2 linked regions of the Elephas maximus indicus genome follow. The protein of the gene in region 1 binds, or shares a complex with, the protein of each later gene. Links are inferred from orthologs where the notes say so. Each region holds a gene or a part of one and is shown on either strand. Other genes may lie near its edges.

The links.
Region 2: the proteins of S1PR1 (region 1) and early activation antigen CD69-like are in contact, whole or in part, in a cryo-EM structure (PDB 8G94), measured with the Homo sapiens proteins. The link is inferred for Elephas maximus indicus from reciprocal best matches to the Homo sapiens genes S1PR1 and CD69. Residues at the interface, in NP_001307659.1 of Homo sapiens: Asn157, Leu160, Phe161, Ile164, Ser165, Trp168, Val169, Leu172, Ile173, Gly176, Ile179, Met180, Gly181; in NP_001772.1 of Homo sapiens: Val41, Ala44, Val45, Val48, Val49, Thr52, Ile53, Ile56, Ile59, Ala60, Val63.

Annotation. Positions count from the first base shown.
Region 1 is NC_064821.1:181,275,895-181,284,138, reverse strand, and holds the start of S1PR1 (sphingosine 1-phosphate receptor 1), read left to right. Parts: upstream 1-4,811; 5' UTR 4,812-5,163; intron 5,164-6,145; exon of another isoform or gene 6,146-6,386; intron 6,387-6,781; 5' UTR 6,782-6,946; coding exon 6,947-8,074; 3' UTR 8,075-8,244.
Region 2 is NC_064822.1:66,876,315-66,883,650, reverse strand, and holds the start of early activation antigen CD69-like, read left to right. Parts: upstream 1-3,913; 5' UTR 3,914-4,017; coding exon 4,018-4,081; intron 4,082-7,336. UniProt on the Homo sapiens protein: Transmembrane protein expressed mainly on T-cells resident in mucosa that plays an essential role in immune cell homeostasis.

The sequences.
Region 1 (8,244 bases):
GAAAAGGGGTTTTTAGAATTCCTCTCTGGTGAAAGGGACCAGCCCAGGAGTCAAGAGCTCCAGATATTGACATTTGGGATCTTCCAACAAAACAGTCCAGCCTAATCACCTAGTACTCCTCCACTGACAAGAGCACCTAAAAACAAATTTTTTTTTTTTAGTGTTTGGTGCCTCTGTCTGAAATATGAAATGGACAGCCAAAGATCTTCTGACAATTGGGAAGGTCTGACACAAACACCCGAGACCAAACAAACAGGAAAATGAGACAAGGAAGAAAAAAGGAGAAAATGTCACCACTGACAATAATAAAAAATAGAAAATAGCACCGTTCTAATATCCTCAGAGGTAAGTGAAAATACAGCAACACGGTTCTATAGAAAGGGAACATTCAGAACAGAAAAAGAGAACATTTGGAAATTAAAGGTAGGAGAGAGAGCAGAGATGGAAATATTAACTGAAGATTTAAAAGGGTTGAACAAAAACATAAAGATTTAGGAAATCAAAAATAAAATACAAGAAAATGAAAGAATCATCCCAGATGATCCGTAATCTGAATAGTGGGAGTTCTAAGTACAGAGAATAGAGAAAATAGAGAAGACCAAGCTGTCAAAGGAATAATTTCAGATAATTTCCCAGAACTGTAAAGGGCTTCTTATATGTTCAGGAGAAACTTGGAAAATCAAGGCATATCATTGCACAATTTTGGAACACTGACAAGAAAGTGAAGATTCTATAAACATCTACAAACAAAAACAAAAAAAAACCCCAGTGCCTAGAGAAGAAAAAAGTCATATGTGAAGTTTTGGAATTAGAATAGCCTTGAACTTTATGTTAGTAGCATTAGAAGTTAAAACATTAGGGAATAATGCCTTTAAAATTCCTAGGAAAAATTATTTATAACCTGTAAATCTATGTTGTTGTTGGTAGGTGCCGTCAGTTTGGTTCTGACTCATATAAACCTTATGAACAACAGAACGAAACACTGCCCAATCCTGTGCCATCCTCACAATCACTGTTTCGCTTGAGCTCATGGCTCTGGCCACTGTGTCAATTCATCTTATGGAGAGCCTTCCTCTTTTTTGATGACCCTCTTTATTTTACCAAGCATGACGTTCTTTTCCAGGAACTCATCCCTCCTGATAACATGTCTGAAGTATGTGAGACATAGTCTTGCCATCCTTGCTTCTAAGGAGCATTCTAACTGTACTTCTTCCAAGACAGATTTGTTCGGTCTTTTGGCAGTCCATGGTACGTTCAATATTCTTCTCCAACACCACAATGCAAAGGCGTCAATTCTTCTTTGGTCTTCCCTATTTGTTGTCCAGCTTTTGCGCGCATATGAGGTGATTGAAAACACCATGGCTTGGGTCAGGTGCACCTTAGTCTTCAAAGTGACATCTTGCCTTTTTAACACTTTAAAGAGGCCTTTTGCAGCAGATTTGCCCAGTGCAACCTGTCTTTTGATTTCTTAATTGCTGCTTCCATAGGTGTTGATTGTGGATCCGAGTAAAATGAAATAAATATATACTTAGCCAAAATATTAGTCAAGTGTAAGTATAAAATTTTTAAAATATCTTACATGCAAGTATTTAGAAAGTTTATACCACAAGTGTGTTTCTTAAGGGTAAGTAAATATTCCTTCAGCTTGGGCAGAGAATCTATAGATAGTGTCTAAAATTGATAATCAGGAAAGAGAGGTGTTAACATGGGATTTAGAGATTTGAAAGTAACCACCAGAAGAAACACCAAAAAGTCTTAAAAGCGATTGGGAGAAACCTCTGAAGACATAATAATTTTCTACGATAATAGCGCCCCCCCCTTATCTGCAGGGAATACATTCTAAGACCCCCAGTGGATGCCTGAAACCACGGATAGTATCGAACCCTGCATATGCTATGTTTTTTCCTAAACATACATACCCATGATAAAGTTTAATTTATAAATAGTAAAATGCATAGTAAGAACTTAGCAACAATAATTAATAATAAAATAGAAGCACTTTATGGCTTTTCTTTGGCATATCCGAATTGCCAGCATCACTACTCCTGCATTTTGGGGCCATTATTAAGTAAGATAAGGGTTACTTGAACACAAGCACTTTGGAACATGGTTGTCTGTGGGTAACTGAAACTGTGGAAAGTGAAATCTTGGAAAAGGGGGACTACTATATTTGATTTTTGTTTTTTTAACCATGGGCATGTGTTATTTTGGGGAAAAAATTTTGAAAATCAAAAAGAGAAGTGAATGGAAAGATGCAAAGTGAGATAATGAAAGTAATGAGTGTAATAGAGTTAGAAATAGAAATGAGACCCTGCATAGCACAAAAGGTTAAGTACTCAACTACTACAACTGAAAGGTTGGCGATTTGAACCCACTCAGAGGTGCCTTGGAAGACACATCTGGTTATCTGCTTCTGAAAAGTCACAGCCTTGAAAACTCTACAAAGCAGTTCTACTCTGCACACATGGGGTCTCCAAGAGTCAGAGCTGACTCAATGGCAAGTAACAACAACAACAGAGATAGAGGTGGTGGGAGGGTACGACGCTTACTCTGTACTGTAATGGACACTTTGTATGTATGAAACTCTTTAATGTTCACAATGACTGAGAGAGAGAAATATCATCACATCTTTTTAGAGACGAGGAAATTGAGGGTCAAGGAAGTGAAAGGAATTTGCTCAAAGTCATACAGCTAGGAACTATCAGTGTTAAGCCTGAACTGAAGCTTGTCTGGTTCCGAAGCTGGATCATGTTGCGCTACACTATTTGGGATGTTGGCAAACAAGAGAAGTGAGAGACAAGGAACCAATTTTGTGGAGGAAGACAGTGAGTTTTAGTAGAGGAGACACATAAACATTCAGGTAAGCTGAAGATAATGCCATCAGAGGTCAAACATTGATAGAACAAGAGAGAAGGAATAATTGAGCTTGGGCATAGAAAGTTTGGGGGAAGTGGCATGATGATAAGAGGCAAGAGTTTGCCTTGGGAAAGAGGAAAGCCGCTTTTACTTCTGAAACTGGACAATTGAGCTGGGAGCCATGACATGGCAGTATTGAAGTTCTGGAACCCAGTTTTACCCGTAACTAGCTGGGAGAGCTGCAAGTCATTTTAGCTGTCTGAGTGACACTTCCCTCATCAACAAAGTGGCCAGTAATGTTTGTTTCAAAGGGCTAACTAAACCAGTTGTTACCATTGAGCGGATTCTGACTCATAGCAACCCTATAGGTCAGAGTAGAACTGCCCAATAGAATTTTCAAGGATCAGCAGTTGGATTTAAACTGCTGACCTTTTGGTTAGCAGCCAAACTCTTAACCACTGTGCCACCAGGGCTCTGCTTTGAGGTGCAGTAATGTTAAATTAGATAATCTCTCACAGTGCCTGATACAGTCTGAGAGTGCAGGTCACTTTAATACCTTAGCCTTTAAACAATGAATAAATTAGTGTGTGTGTGTGGCGGCGGGGGGGGGGGGGGGCGGTGGTTTCCAGGTGCCCACTTTATGTTGTTTTGTGTAGGCACAACAAGCTTCTCCCTTTAAATGAACGAAGTCCTCAAACCCCTAGGGCCACTCATCATATTCTGGAGTCTAGAAGACCATAACCTTAGTTTCTGTGTAGTACATATGCATAATACTGTCGTTGAATTTGTGGCTATATATATGCTGAGTGTGAAATCCTTGATGAGGGCTTTAAGGCAGCTGTGATTAACCGTCACTTAATTTTTTTTGCAAACTCATAAGATCTAAGAAGCCAGGGGTCTGTTGTTTATTCATTCAGCATCCTTCTGAGTCATTCAGGTACAGGGTGTGTCATCCTTGAAACTGCACAGGGAGGAGGTTTTGCATTCACATCTGTCGGGAAGGGCGAGCAGGGACTGGGTGGAAACAGCCTGTAGCAGTACGGCAGGGGCAGAAGTGTCTTGCCATTACCACTCAGGTGAATTTGACCAAGGGCGCCTCTCAGCCTCAAGTTCTGAAGTAGCATATCAGCGAAAGGAAGGGGTGGGGGAGCATCAAGTTTGGGTGGTCTCTGAAGTCACCTCCCGGGTAGCAAGGGGGAGAAGGGCGCGGACATCCAATTGGGCATCTTCAGGCGCCGGATGGGCCGGGCAGCTCTACCCCTTTGGAAATTCCTCAGCTGCCCAAGTCACCGGCTCTTTAAATCTCCCAGAAACCGGCAGCAACCCCCCTTCTCAAGGGCCTCACCAGTGACCAGAATCCCGGACACAGGGTCTGACTTTGTGTCAGACTGAATTGAGTGAGGGGAGCCCCCGCCCCAATACCCCAGTACCCATTTGACTGTGTGCCCCGCGAAAGCCACTTTCTGCCCATCCGACCGCAAGTTTCCGGGCAGCGCGGGGACTGGAGGTTGGGGGTGGAGGAAACTTTCTGCCCCTTCTCCCTCCGGGGTTACTGGCCTCCTTCATCTCTCTAGCAGCCCCTTCCCAGCCTCTCTGGGCTTATTGGGCGAGTGCTCGGGTTTCTCCTCCTCGCGCAGAGGCGCCCTCGGGGGCGCCGGGTTTTCATCTTTGGTCTCGTATCCCCTGAGGGCCGAGGGGATGGGGGACAAGGGAGGTACGCTGGGAGACACCGGATCGTCCTCGGCACTCTAAGACTTCCCGGGAGAAAAGTTTCCAAAGGCTCTTCACCTCCTCCCTTTTCCAAAGCTGGAGAGAAGCCTCTCCACCGCCCGGGAGCGCCCGATGGCGGGACAAGGGCGGTGATTTATACATTAGAATCCAGGGGGCACCAGGCTCCGCCCCTTTTGGTTTTTTTTCTTTTTTTTATCTCGGTTGCCGGAGGGGGAGGAGGAGTTCTTTTTTTTTTTTGTTACTTCTGCCCCAGATCTTTCCTGGACAGTGTCTCAGCAGCCGAGCTCCGGAGGGCCCCAGCTACTGGCGGAGGGCGTGGGGGGCTGAGGCTTTAACCCCTCCCGGTGCCTTCGGAAAGAAGCCACCCAGTCTGGGCGCGGCGCTCGGCCGCCTGGCCTCGCTGGCCAGCACGGGCCGCAGGAGTGGGGCTGGCCATTGGAGTGCGAGGCTGCGGAGGGAGGGGACCCCGGCTCCAGTAAGTTGGCCAGAGCTCGACGCAGTCGGCGGCAGCAAGATGCCGAGCGCGCAGGGCAGACCCGGAGCTCTCCGAACGCAACTCCGTCCTGCCTGAGCCAGGTAGGGGGCTGCGAGCCGTGCGCCCGGGGCGCGGGCAGGCTGGGCGCGGGGAGCGCTTCGGAATCAGAAGGGCATTTTAAGATGGAACGAAGCCAAACAAAAACTTTGAAACCCTACGTCTTTGGGAGCTGAAAACGTGTATCCCTGGCTACTAAGGAGCCCCACCCGATCAGATTGTTCTTGGGACTTTTGGGGATTTATGGAGTTTGAAGAAGGGTTAAGTTCCAGTGGTAGAGCCGACTGGGACTGAGAGGTGGAAGCTACGGTTGGTCGGAGAAGAGGGAGTTAGTTTTGGAAATCCTATAGACAAAGAATATTGGCGGGGGGTTGCGGGGGATGGCTTTAAACTTGCACTGCCCGCGAGCAGGGTGCTGAATTCGATGGGGGAAATGCAGAGCTTCTTGGCGCGAGAAGTCTTTGCTGTCCCAGGAATTGCTGCGGTTGTTCTCGCCTCTGTTAACGGCCCTTTTATCACCATTGCCGCGTGACCTTGAAACATTTAAGCAGCTTAATAGTAGAGTTCTGTTAAAAAAAAGTGCTGTGTTTCGTTACCTCCACACTTTCTAGTTCTGTGAGAAGAGGCGACGTGTTGAGGGAGAACAGTCCCTACAGCTACCCATGCTTGCTTAGCCGTGCACCGGACGTACGTTTTTGTGAGTTTCTGGGGAGTAGTTATGCCCTCAAATCAGGAATGTGGAGGCCGGTATTTTTGTCGTTAGTAGTATAACTTCTCTCTTTTGTGTGTGTCTGTGTTTGTGTGTGTGTGTGTGTTATTTTGACCGTGCCCACGATAACTAAAAGTACCCCTTATGCAATCACTTAATATTTGGAACTTCTGGGATGGATTGCAGTCTCTTTCTTATGAATGGTTTCCACTGAGTTCTTTTAAAGTCACTTGCACTAGCTTGCGAAAAAAAGAGAGAATAGGCAGTTGCTTCTCGGAGGCACTGAGCTTTCCTGTTTACCCAAGGCCAGGCAGGGCTTGGCTGCCCACACCTCACTGCGTCCTCGGACCCAGGGCGGTGAGCAGACCCTGCACACCTGCTCCTAGAGAGTTATTAATAGAGCCCAAAGAATGACTTACGCCGTCAAATGATTTTCGTGCATGGCAATTAGGAGGTGGTGCTCCTCTCTTTTAGCTGAAGGAAGGGAAGGCAGAGGTGTGCGTCTCCGCCGTCAGATTCGCGGTTAGGTCTCTTCCGAGGAAAGACCATGAGCTGGCGGTGAGTGCATAGCTAAGCCAGGGGATTTTTCAGAAAATCTTCGGGCTGGAAATTAGGGAGCGACGGGGCGGAGTGGAGTTAGAATGGGGCGTGCTTCTCCAGATTTCCCTTTTCCTTTTGAGTGGATGCGACCGACCAAAGGGAGAATCTGCGTCTTGTCCAGTTGACGTTTACAGCTGGGGTTAATTTTTGTTTTTTTTCTCTCTCTCTCCCTTTTCCATTTTTTTGCAAGAAGCGAAAATTTGATTTTTTTTTTAATTCCATTCCCTGCACTCTCCCTGAGTTTCTTTAAAACAAATCAACTAACTATTGGCGCAACGTTTTAGCTAGAGTGAATTATGCCAGTGTGATGTGGCTTTTTTTCCTGACTTTCTCCTCTTTGTGATTTGTTTAAGGCTGCGGTTTCCGAGGCCCCCTCAAGCCAAGGAAAAGCAACACAAAAAGCCTGGATCTCTCCCACTGAATCCCCGGGGCAGCCAGTGACGGCTCTCTCCACCTGCCCTCTAGCGGCGGCTGGGAGACTTGCCACCCCAGGGTTCCTGTGGACACAGCGCGGCACCATGGGGTCCGCCAGCATCCAGCACCGCTCCGACTATGTCAACCATGACATCATCATCCTGCATTACAACTACACCGGAAAGCTGAATATCAGCGCCGACAAGGACAATGGCATTAAACTGACCTCGGTGGTGTTCATCCTCATCTGTTGCTTTATCATCTTGGAGAATATCTTCGTCTTGCTGACAATTTGGAAAACCAAGAAGTTCCACCGACCCATGTACTATTTTATTGGTAACCTGGCTCTCTCAGACCTGTTGGCAGGAGTGGCTTATGTAGCCAATCTGCTCTTGTCTGGGGCCACCACCTACAAGCTCATCCCCGTCCAGTGGTTTTTGCGGGAAGGGAGCATGTTCGTGGCCCTGTCTGCCTCTGTGTTCAGCTTGCTAGCCATTGCCATTGAGCGCTACATCACCATGCTGAAGATGAAACTCCACAATGGCAGCAACAGCTTTCGCTCCTTCCTGCTCATCAGTGCCTGTTGGGTCATCTCTGTCATCCTGGGCAGCCTGCCCATCATGGGCTGGAATTGCATCGGCATGCTGCCCAGCTGCTCCACGGTGCTGCCGCTCTACCACAAGCACTATATCCTCTTTTGCACCACGGTCTTCACTCTGCTCCTGCTCTCCATCGTCATCCTATACTGCAGGATCTACTCCTTAGTTAGGACTCGTAGCCGCCGTCTGACCTTTCGCAAGAATATTTCCAAGGCCACCCGCAGCTCTGAGAAGTCACTGGCGCTGCTCAAGACGGTGATTATCGTCCTGAGCGTCTTCATTGCCTGTTGGGCGCCCCTCTTCATCCTGCTCCTGCTAGACGTGGGCTGCAAGGTGAAGACCTGCGACATCCTCTTCCGAGCTGAGTACTTCCTGGTGTTGGCTGTGCTCAATTCTGGCACCAATCCCATCATTTACACTCTGACCAACAAGGAGATGCGCCGGGCCTTCATCAAGATCATGTCCTGCTGCAAGTGTCCCAGTGGAGACTCTACTGGCAAATTCAAGCGACCCATCATTGCTGGAGTGGAATTCAGCCGCAGCAAGTCCGACAACTCCTCCCACCCCCAGAAGGACGATGGAGACAACCCAGAGACCATTATGTCCTCTGGAAATGTCAACTCTTCTTCCTAAAACTGAAAGCTGCCAACCCATGGGGAGTGCTCTTACGTAGTCACGCTCCAGTGTTTTGTGGAACTCTCTGGGCCTCGACTGCTGCCAGGGAGGAGCTGCTGTGAGCCAGAACCAGGGAGGGAGAGAATAAGAGAAGCCTGGTGGCGCCAGGTGTTGGTGGGTGGAGTTAG
Region 2 (7,336 bases), on another chromosome or scaffold:
TCAGTGTTGAGTAAGGCAGGCATGTCCCTGTGCTTAAACCCTTTACCTTCTACTACTGGGAAATAGTAAATAATAATGACAAAAAGCTTACAAATAAGTGAACAATAAAATTTCAGTTAGTGATATGCCCTATGAAGTAAAAGAGAGTGAGGTAATAGATAGTGACTAACTGAAGCTATGGAAACCCTGGTGGCACAGTGGTTAAGAACTGCAGCTGCTAACCAAAAGGTCAGCAGTTTGAATCCACCAGGCACTCCTTGGAAATGTCTATGGGGCAGTTCTACTCTGTTCTATAGGGTCGCTATGAGTTGGAATTGACTCGATGGCAATGGTTTTTTTTTTTTTTAAACTGGAACTAATTTAGACAGGTAGCTAGGGAAGGTCCTGTTGAGGAGGTAAAATGCAAGGTTAAATATAAATGAGAAGAGTCAGCCATGAGAAATCTGAGAGCAGAGGGTAAAAATGCAAGAACACACCTTATAAAACGAAAATGAGTTTGGCTTCTTCAAGGAACAGAACTATGGCCAGTGAAGACCCTGAGTGGTGCAAACAGTTAAGCACTCAGCTACTGACTGAAAAGTCGGTGGTTTGAACCTGCCCAGAGGTGTCTCAAGATAAAGGCCTGGTGATCTGCTTCTGAATGGCCACTGCCATGGAAAACCCTATGGAACACAGTTCTACTCTGTGTACATGGGGGCCACCATGAATTGAAATCGACATGATGGCAACTGGTTTGGTTTTTGGTTTGATGGCTGACCTATAGGGAACAAAAGAGAAACTGCTGGAGATGATCATCTGTCTGGCTGTAAATGCTGTTTTTTTCGTTTTTATTTTCCATAAAGCCAATCTGCCTAACTGTTCTGGAATATTCAAACTTCAAGGATAGTTAGTGTCCAGCTAAGGATATCAGATTTCTATGTTTATATATGAATCGCCAGAGAAGAAAATGTATATTAGTAATGGTATAACTGGGCCATGATTTCTATGTTAGTTCAATCAACTGTAGCAAAGTCCTTCTTTGCACCTGGAAAAGATTCATCGAAAGATTATCAGTATGTTCAAGGATATTTTCTTTCTCTCTATTTATATCCCATCAACTTGGAAGAGTTTAAATAATGTTGCAGATTTATAACAGTGATATTATCTCATACATTCTTCACAACACCGTGGATATGGAACAGTCTGGACTTTAACTCAAATCTCCTAACTATAAGAGAATAAATAAACATTTAAAAGATGAAGTCCCTTTAACCCAAAGAAATTAACGAAAATGTTAACAATAGATCCTGCTATTTCTTTTTAAGTACCAAACTTAACTCCTTCTTCATCATTCATCAGTAGCATCCAAGTGCACATTTGCTATCTTGTGACAGTCTAGGGCCGTATATTTCTCAATCCTAAAATTCCATAAGCCTCCCTAAGTAGCTCTCTATATTTTGGAACCTTTATAATTTTCATACGAAATTTTTATTCATTCATTCATTCATTCACTAAATAAGTATGTGTTGAGTATATACTGTTGTTGTTAGGTGCTGTCAAGTTGATTCCAACTTATAATGACCCTATGTATAACAGAATGAAACCACGCCCAATCCTGCACCATCCTCACAAACAGTAGGTATGTTTGAGCCCATTGTTGAAGGCACTGTGTCAGTCCAGCTTGTTTAGTGTCTTCTTCTTTTTCACAGACCCTCTACTTTACCAAGCATGATGTCCAGTTACTGTGCCAGAGGTTACAGACACAGAAGAGACAAATCTGACAATATCCTTACCCCCAAGTAGCTTATATCCTAGTAAGGAAAGTAGACGATAATGATATGATGCCAGATATTGACAGATGTTATAGAGAAAGATAAAGGTGGGTAGAGCGTTAGCTTTGGTTTAGATTTGATGGCAAGTAAAGATCCCTTTGGGCAGGTGACTGAATTAACGGAGTGAGTAACACATGAAGATAGTTGGAGGAAGAATCTTCTAGGAAATGTGCAAAGCCCCTGTAGTAGTAGGAGTGTGCCTGCCATTTTTGTGGAACGGCAAAGAAGTTACTGTTGGAGTGGGCAGTGACTAGTGGGGAGAATTGTAGAAGAGATAGCCAGGTGCCAGAACTTGTATAAAGCGTTTTGAACTATGATACGGTCTTTGGATTTAATGGAGCTGTGGTGGTGCAGTGGTTAAGAGCTCAGTTGCTAACCAAAAGTCAGTGGTTCAAATCCACCAGCCACTTCATGAGAACCCTATGGGGCAGTTCTACTCTGTCCTATAGTGTCACTATAAATCGGAATCAACTTGACAGCAACAGATTTGTTTGTTTATTTTGATTTTGGATTTAATGGTAATTTTGATAGGAATCCATTGAGAGTAGGCAGGGAGAAGAATTCAAAACCTTAACAAAATTATACGACTTAATGATAAAACAAGCCCTCTAGCTGCTATGTAGAAAACATACAAGAAAATTAAATGAAAAATTGAGTGGAAGCAAAGAGGCCCTTTAGAACCAACATGTGCCTCTTTGTGCCTTAGGCAGACCAACACATGATGACCTAACTAACCTCCCTCCCGAAAAAAATCAAACCCATTACCATTGAGTCGATTTCCACTCATAGCGACCCTATGGGACAGAGTAGAACTGCCACATAGAGCTTTCACGGAACGTCTGGTGGATTCAAATTGCTGACCTTTTGGTTAGCAGCCAAGCTCTTAACCACTGTGCCACCAGGGATCCAACTAACACACCAAAAAAAAAAAAATGAACCCGTTGCCATGGAGTCAATTCTGACTCAGAGAGACTCCAGAAGTCTAACATTTTCACCAAGGCTTTTTTCTGAAAACAAAATCTCTTTAGTCTAAAAAAACTGATATTAATGATGAAATAAATTTTAGGCACAAAGATTATTAACCAGAGTGGTACTTTGAGTCTCTTTCCCCCATTAAGTCAGCATTTATAGATATTCTTCATTCATTTTGCATTGACCTTACTAATTTTCCTGGATGAATTTCATAACACAGCAATGTCTCGTTTTTATAGAAATTATACTCCAAACATCTGGAGCCTCAAAAGGTATGTGAACAGAATAACCTAGAATCTATGCAGAAAATTAAAAAAATAAGTTATTACCAAGATGAAATAGAGGAAGTCTAAATAACAGTAAAATTTAACAAGAAAATGAAGCAGATAATTTAAACGATTTCAGAACACAGCGAGGAAGTTGTAGCCACAAACTTTCTATTTCCTGCGTTAAAGTAACTACTTACCAAATAATATTCATAAACTGGTGAAATGAAAGAACTAGTCCCCAGGGAATAAGTGAATGACACACTTCTGAAAGTTCATCATAGCTTCCTAAGTAAAATTCTTCCAGAATGAATAGGGGGATCCATGAGAATAGAGCCTTATCATACTTACTCAATGATGAATCCTTAGAGCCCAAACAGTGTCAAGCACATAGTGGATGTTTAAAAACTACCAGTTGTTAAGTGATGAGTGAGATTTCAGGCACTCATTATACACTCCTTCCCCCAAATATTTTCATCTCAAAGATAGGAATCTTGAAAAAAAATAGCAAAAATTAATACCTAGGATGATACACGCAGAATTGAACTTTATAATCAAAGGAGTCTGATTTACATTCCTAATTTTTAGTTCTTTACTTAGATTATGCTGCCTCCTAAACTCTTTGCTTTTACTCCAAATTTAAGGACAAGTACCTGGGTTTCTGGGAAAATCCCATTTGCCCCTCATGCTACACCTGCAATTGTGAGAAAGCACATTTCAGACAGCAGGGAAAGCCCATACCTCACCACAACAACATGCCGTAAACTGGCCCACTGGAGCGTAAGTTAAAGAGAACTGGCGTAATCGTTGAGCCAGTAGGAAGTAAGAGGAAAGGGGCGGAGACAGCATAAGGGAATATAAATGCTAAGATGATCCAAAGATCCAGACTGAAGAAGAGCTCCAGCAAAGACTTTCTCTGCAGATTGATTTAACCCAAGATTAACCAGGGAAACTTGAGCAGGTTGGAGATGAGCTCAGAAGATCATTCTACAACAGAGAACAGCTCCATGCATCTGGAGACAGGAAGACAAAGTAAGTCAGATCTAATTTCTTATATATTGATAATACATATAATATATAATGGTACATAGTTGGGGGGAAATGAGGCTTTGCCTTCTGGAGAACTTACCTTCTATTTCAGTCAGAATAGAAGAGAAAATGGGAAGAGGTAAATACTTCGGAGCTATGAGAAGATAGGATAGCTGAGAGTTGAGAGAAACCCACAACGGTGAATTTCAGAACCTGAAGGACCTTTTTCTTTATTTTAGTTTACATCATCTCAATTTTTTAGAAAACTAAAATTCCCTAGTCCAGTACTCTCTCTATCATTTTGCCATAGCCACCTATGCCCACTCCAGGGAGCACTCCCACTTCTTGTGGAAAATTCTATTTCCCACATAAGCAAATACATCTTTGATTGTCCTCCCTGTACCCTTTGAATGCTTTCTGTGTGCTTCAGCCCATGTTCTCATGACAGTATCCTCCAGTTATTGGAAATGTGCAGGTTTCCAACCTTTGAGAGAATAGCTCTAAAAAATATCTGAACACTCACAGTGCCCCAGTGGTAATTTATTAGGAGAATGTCATGAAAGAATTCTTAGGAATGCAATCTTCCGCTTCACTATTCTTTAGGGCCCTCTTTCCCTCCATTTCATCCTTCTGTTTCTCCCTCCCAAACACTGGCTTCAAATTCTGCATGAATCAGACATGTTCGTCATTTTCTTTATTTTTAATTAAAATCTGATCATCTTAGCTATATACCTTTTCTTCTCTTCTATCCATTGATTCTGTCAACATATCTCTTTCATAATTGAGTTTTTTTTCCTTAGCTTCTCTATACCTTTTTGCCATGAGGCTTTCTCAATTTTTTTCTTTTTTTAATCCCTCTTCTTCCCTAATAAATGAGGTGCCCAAAAAACTAGCACTGAAGAACTAGGGTTTACTTATAAGCAGGAGATATCTAGAAATAAAAGGGGTGTTAGAAAAAACAGACACAGAACAATGTAGAGAAAGGGATTGTTTTATGAGTGTGTGTCTATGAGACTGGTTTATCGTACAAGAGCATCAATGACTTCTGATAAACCTGTCTTTTGCCTAAGAATATAAATCCAAGCTTGGGCAACAAGGGCAAGGCATTAGATTTTTTTTAGACAATCAGATGAACAGTAACTTTACAGCTCAGTTGAACTGCCAAAAAGAAAAAAAAAAAATGATAACAATGAAACTATTAAATAATTAAAAAAGACCCAGTGCCGTCAAGTGGATTCCGACTCATAGCGACTTTTCAATTATGCTCTCTACTTATTATTCAATAAATAGAGAGCATAATTGAAAAATGTATCTACTGCAGGAATTTTTTAATTTCCTGAAATTAAGCAAATTTTTTGTTGAATTATTAGTTTACACTGCTCTTGTAGTTGCTTTTACTAGTATGAGCAACCCTTGGACACCATTCTTAGGTGATTCAGCAAGAAATAGGTGGATTTATTTTCAACTTCTCCATTAATGAATAGGACCCGGAATCGGAGAGGAAGCTTGCTGTCAGATGTTTTGTCACCCAGGTGATAAACCAAAGTGTGGGTAACAATAAAAACCAAACCAAACCAGTTACTGTCAAGTCAATTCTGACACATAGCAGCCCCATGTGTTACAGAGTAGAACTGTGCTGCACAGGCTTTTCAATGGCTGCGATCTTTCAGAAATAGATCACCAGACCTTTCATCTAGGGTGCCTCTGGGCAGATTTGAACAACCAACCTTTTGATTAGCAGCCAAGCACTTAGCTCTTTGTGCCACCCACTAACGAATATAAAGTGCCATCCTAAGAGTCATTTCTTACGCACTGGGTGAGCTGATGGGTTGAGTTAGATTCTGAAGGGCATGAATATTTGGCTGAGTGAGTACTTCCTAAGGAAATAGAGTTGTTGCTGTACGAAGTTCAAGCAGCATGAGTGACTCTCACATGGTAAGAAGTGAAACTAGACAGAGCTCTGACTTGCTACCCTATCAATGGCTGCTTCCGGTGATAGAACTAGATACGGTGAAGTAAAGTTGTCTCTTATAAAATCTGGATGCGGAACTATGCTTGGAAATAGAAACCCCAGAAGACACAAAAGTTGATCCTGACACCGAGTATATGATAATTTAATATGAGGGAGAGTAATACCTCTTAGCCCAGTTCAACTTTAAATAAATGTTTTAAGGAAACAAAATTCACGGATTTCAAGATGTATCATATATAGACATGCCTTTTAGTTATAACAGTCATCCATTTTGAGAACAGGGATGTTTTTGCATTTGCAGACTATTTTCATGGTCAGTTATAATGTTATTCAAGTAATATATTTCAGTTTTGAGAACATAATAGGGGATTACATTTTTCTTGTGAGGTCGGATTTTGTTTTAAAATCCTGATAGCTCATCCTTGCATATATCAAATTCAAAATATGTTACAAAATTATCCTCTCTCCTTTCTCAGTCATTTGCTTATATTTTAGAATAGATATCTTTCTTTTTTTATCTTTCTAGTTTTTTTGTAACTAAGAAACATAATTAAGATCATGTTCATATTCCACATTCTTCCAGAGAAATTTTTCTTAGTGGTGAAAGAAAACTTTGACTTTGTTTCACCATTACAGACCCAATATTTAGTCTATAAAACTGTTTTCTCTATTATTTTAACTTTTTTTAGGAAATTCATATATTTTAATGTTCATTCACAAATTTTAATTGAATTATAGTTTAATTTCAAAAAGGTGTATTTTACATACAATGAATGCACAAATCATAAGAGCACAGTTTAATGAATCATGGCAATGTATAACTATGACTCCAGTTAGCATGTGTAATATTCCCATCACCAAGGAATGTTCCCTTGTGCCCCTGCCTTTCTGGTTAAATAGGCCTTCCCACATACATAAAGGTAATCATTTTTCTGATTTTTATCAGCATAGCTTAGTTTTGCCTATCCGTTAACTTCATGTAAATGAAATTATAAAGTATATAGTCTTTTGTGACTAGATTTTTTTTAATTCATGTTGTGTATATCCGTTGTTCATCTTCCCCTTATTTTCTTAATTGCTAAGTAGAAGTCACTTGTATGGATATACCTTAATTTGTTTATCCAGTCTCCCAAGGATGGATAATTGGATTATTTCTGTTATTGGGCTCTTACAGATAAAGCTGCCATGAACATTTTTGTATAAGACTTTTTGCAGACATGCTTTCATGTCTCTTGGGGAAATTCACAAGAGTAGTACTATAGGATCCTAGGAGAGGTGTACATTTA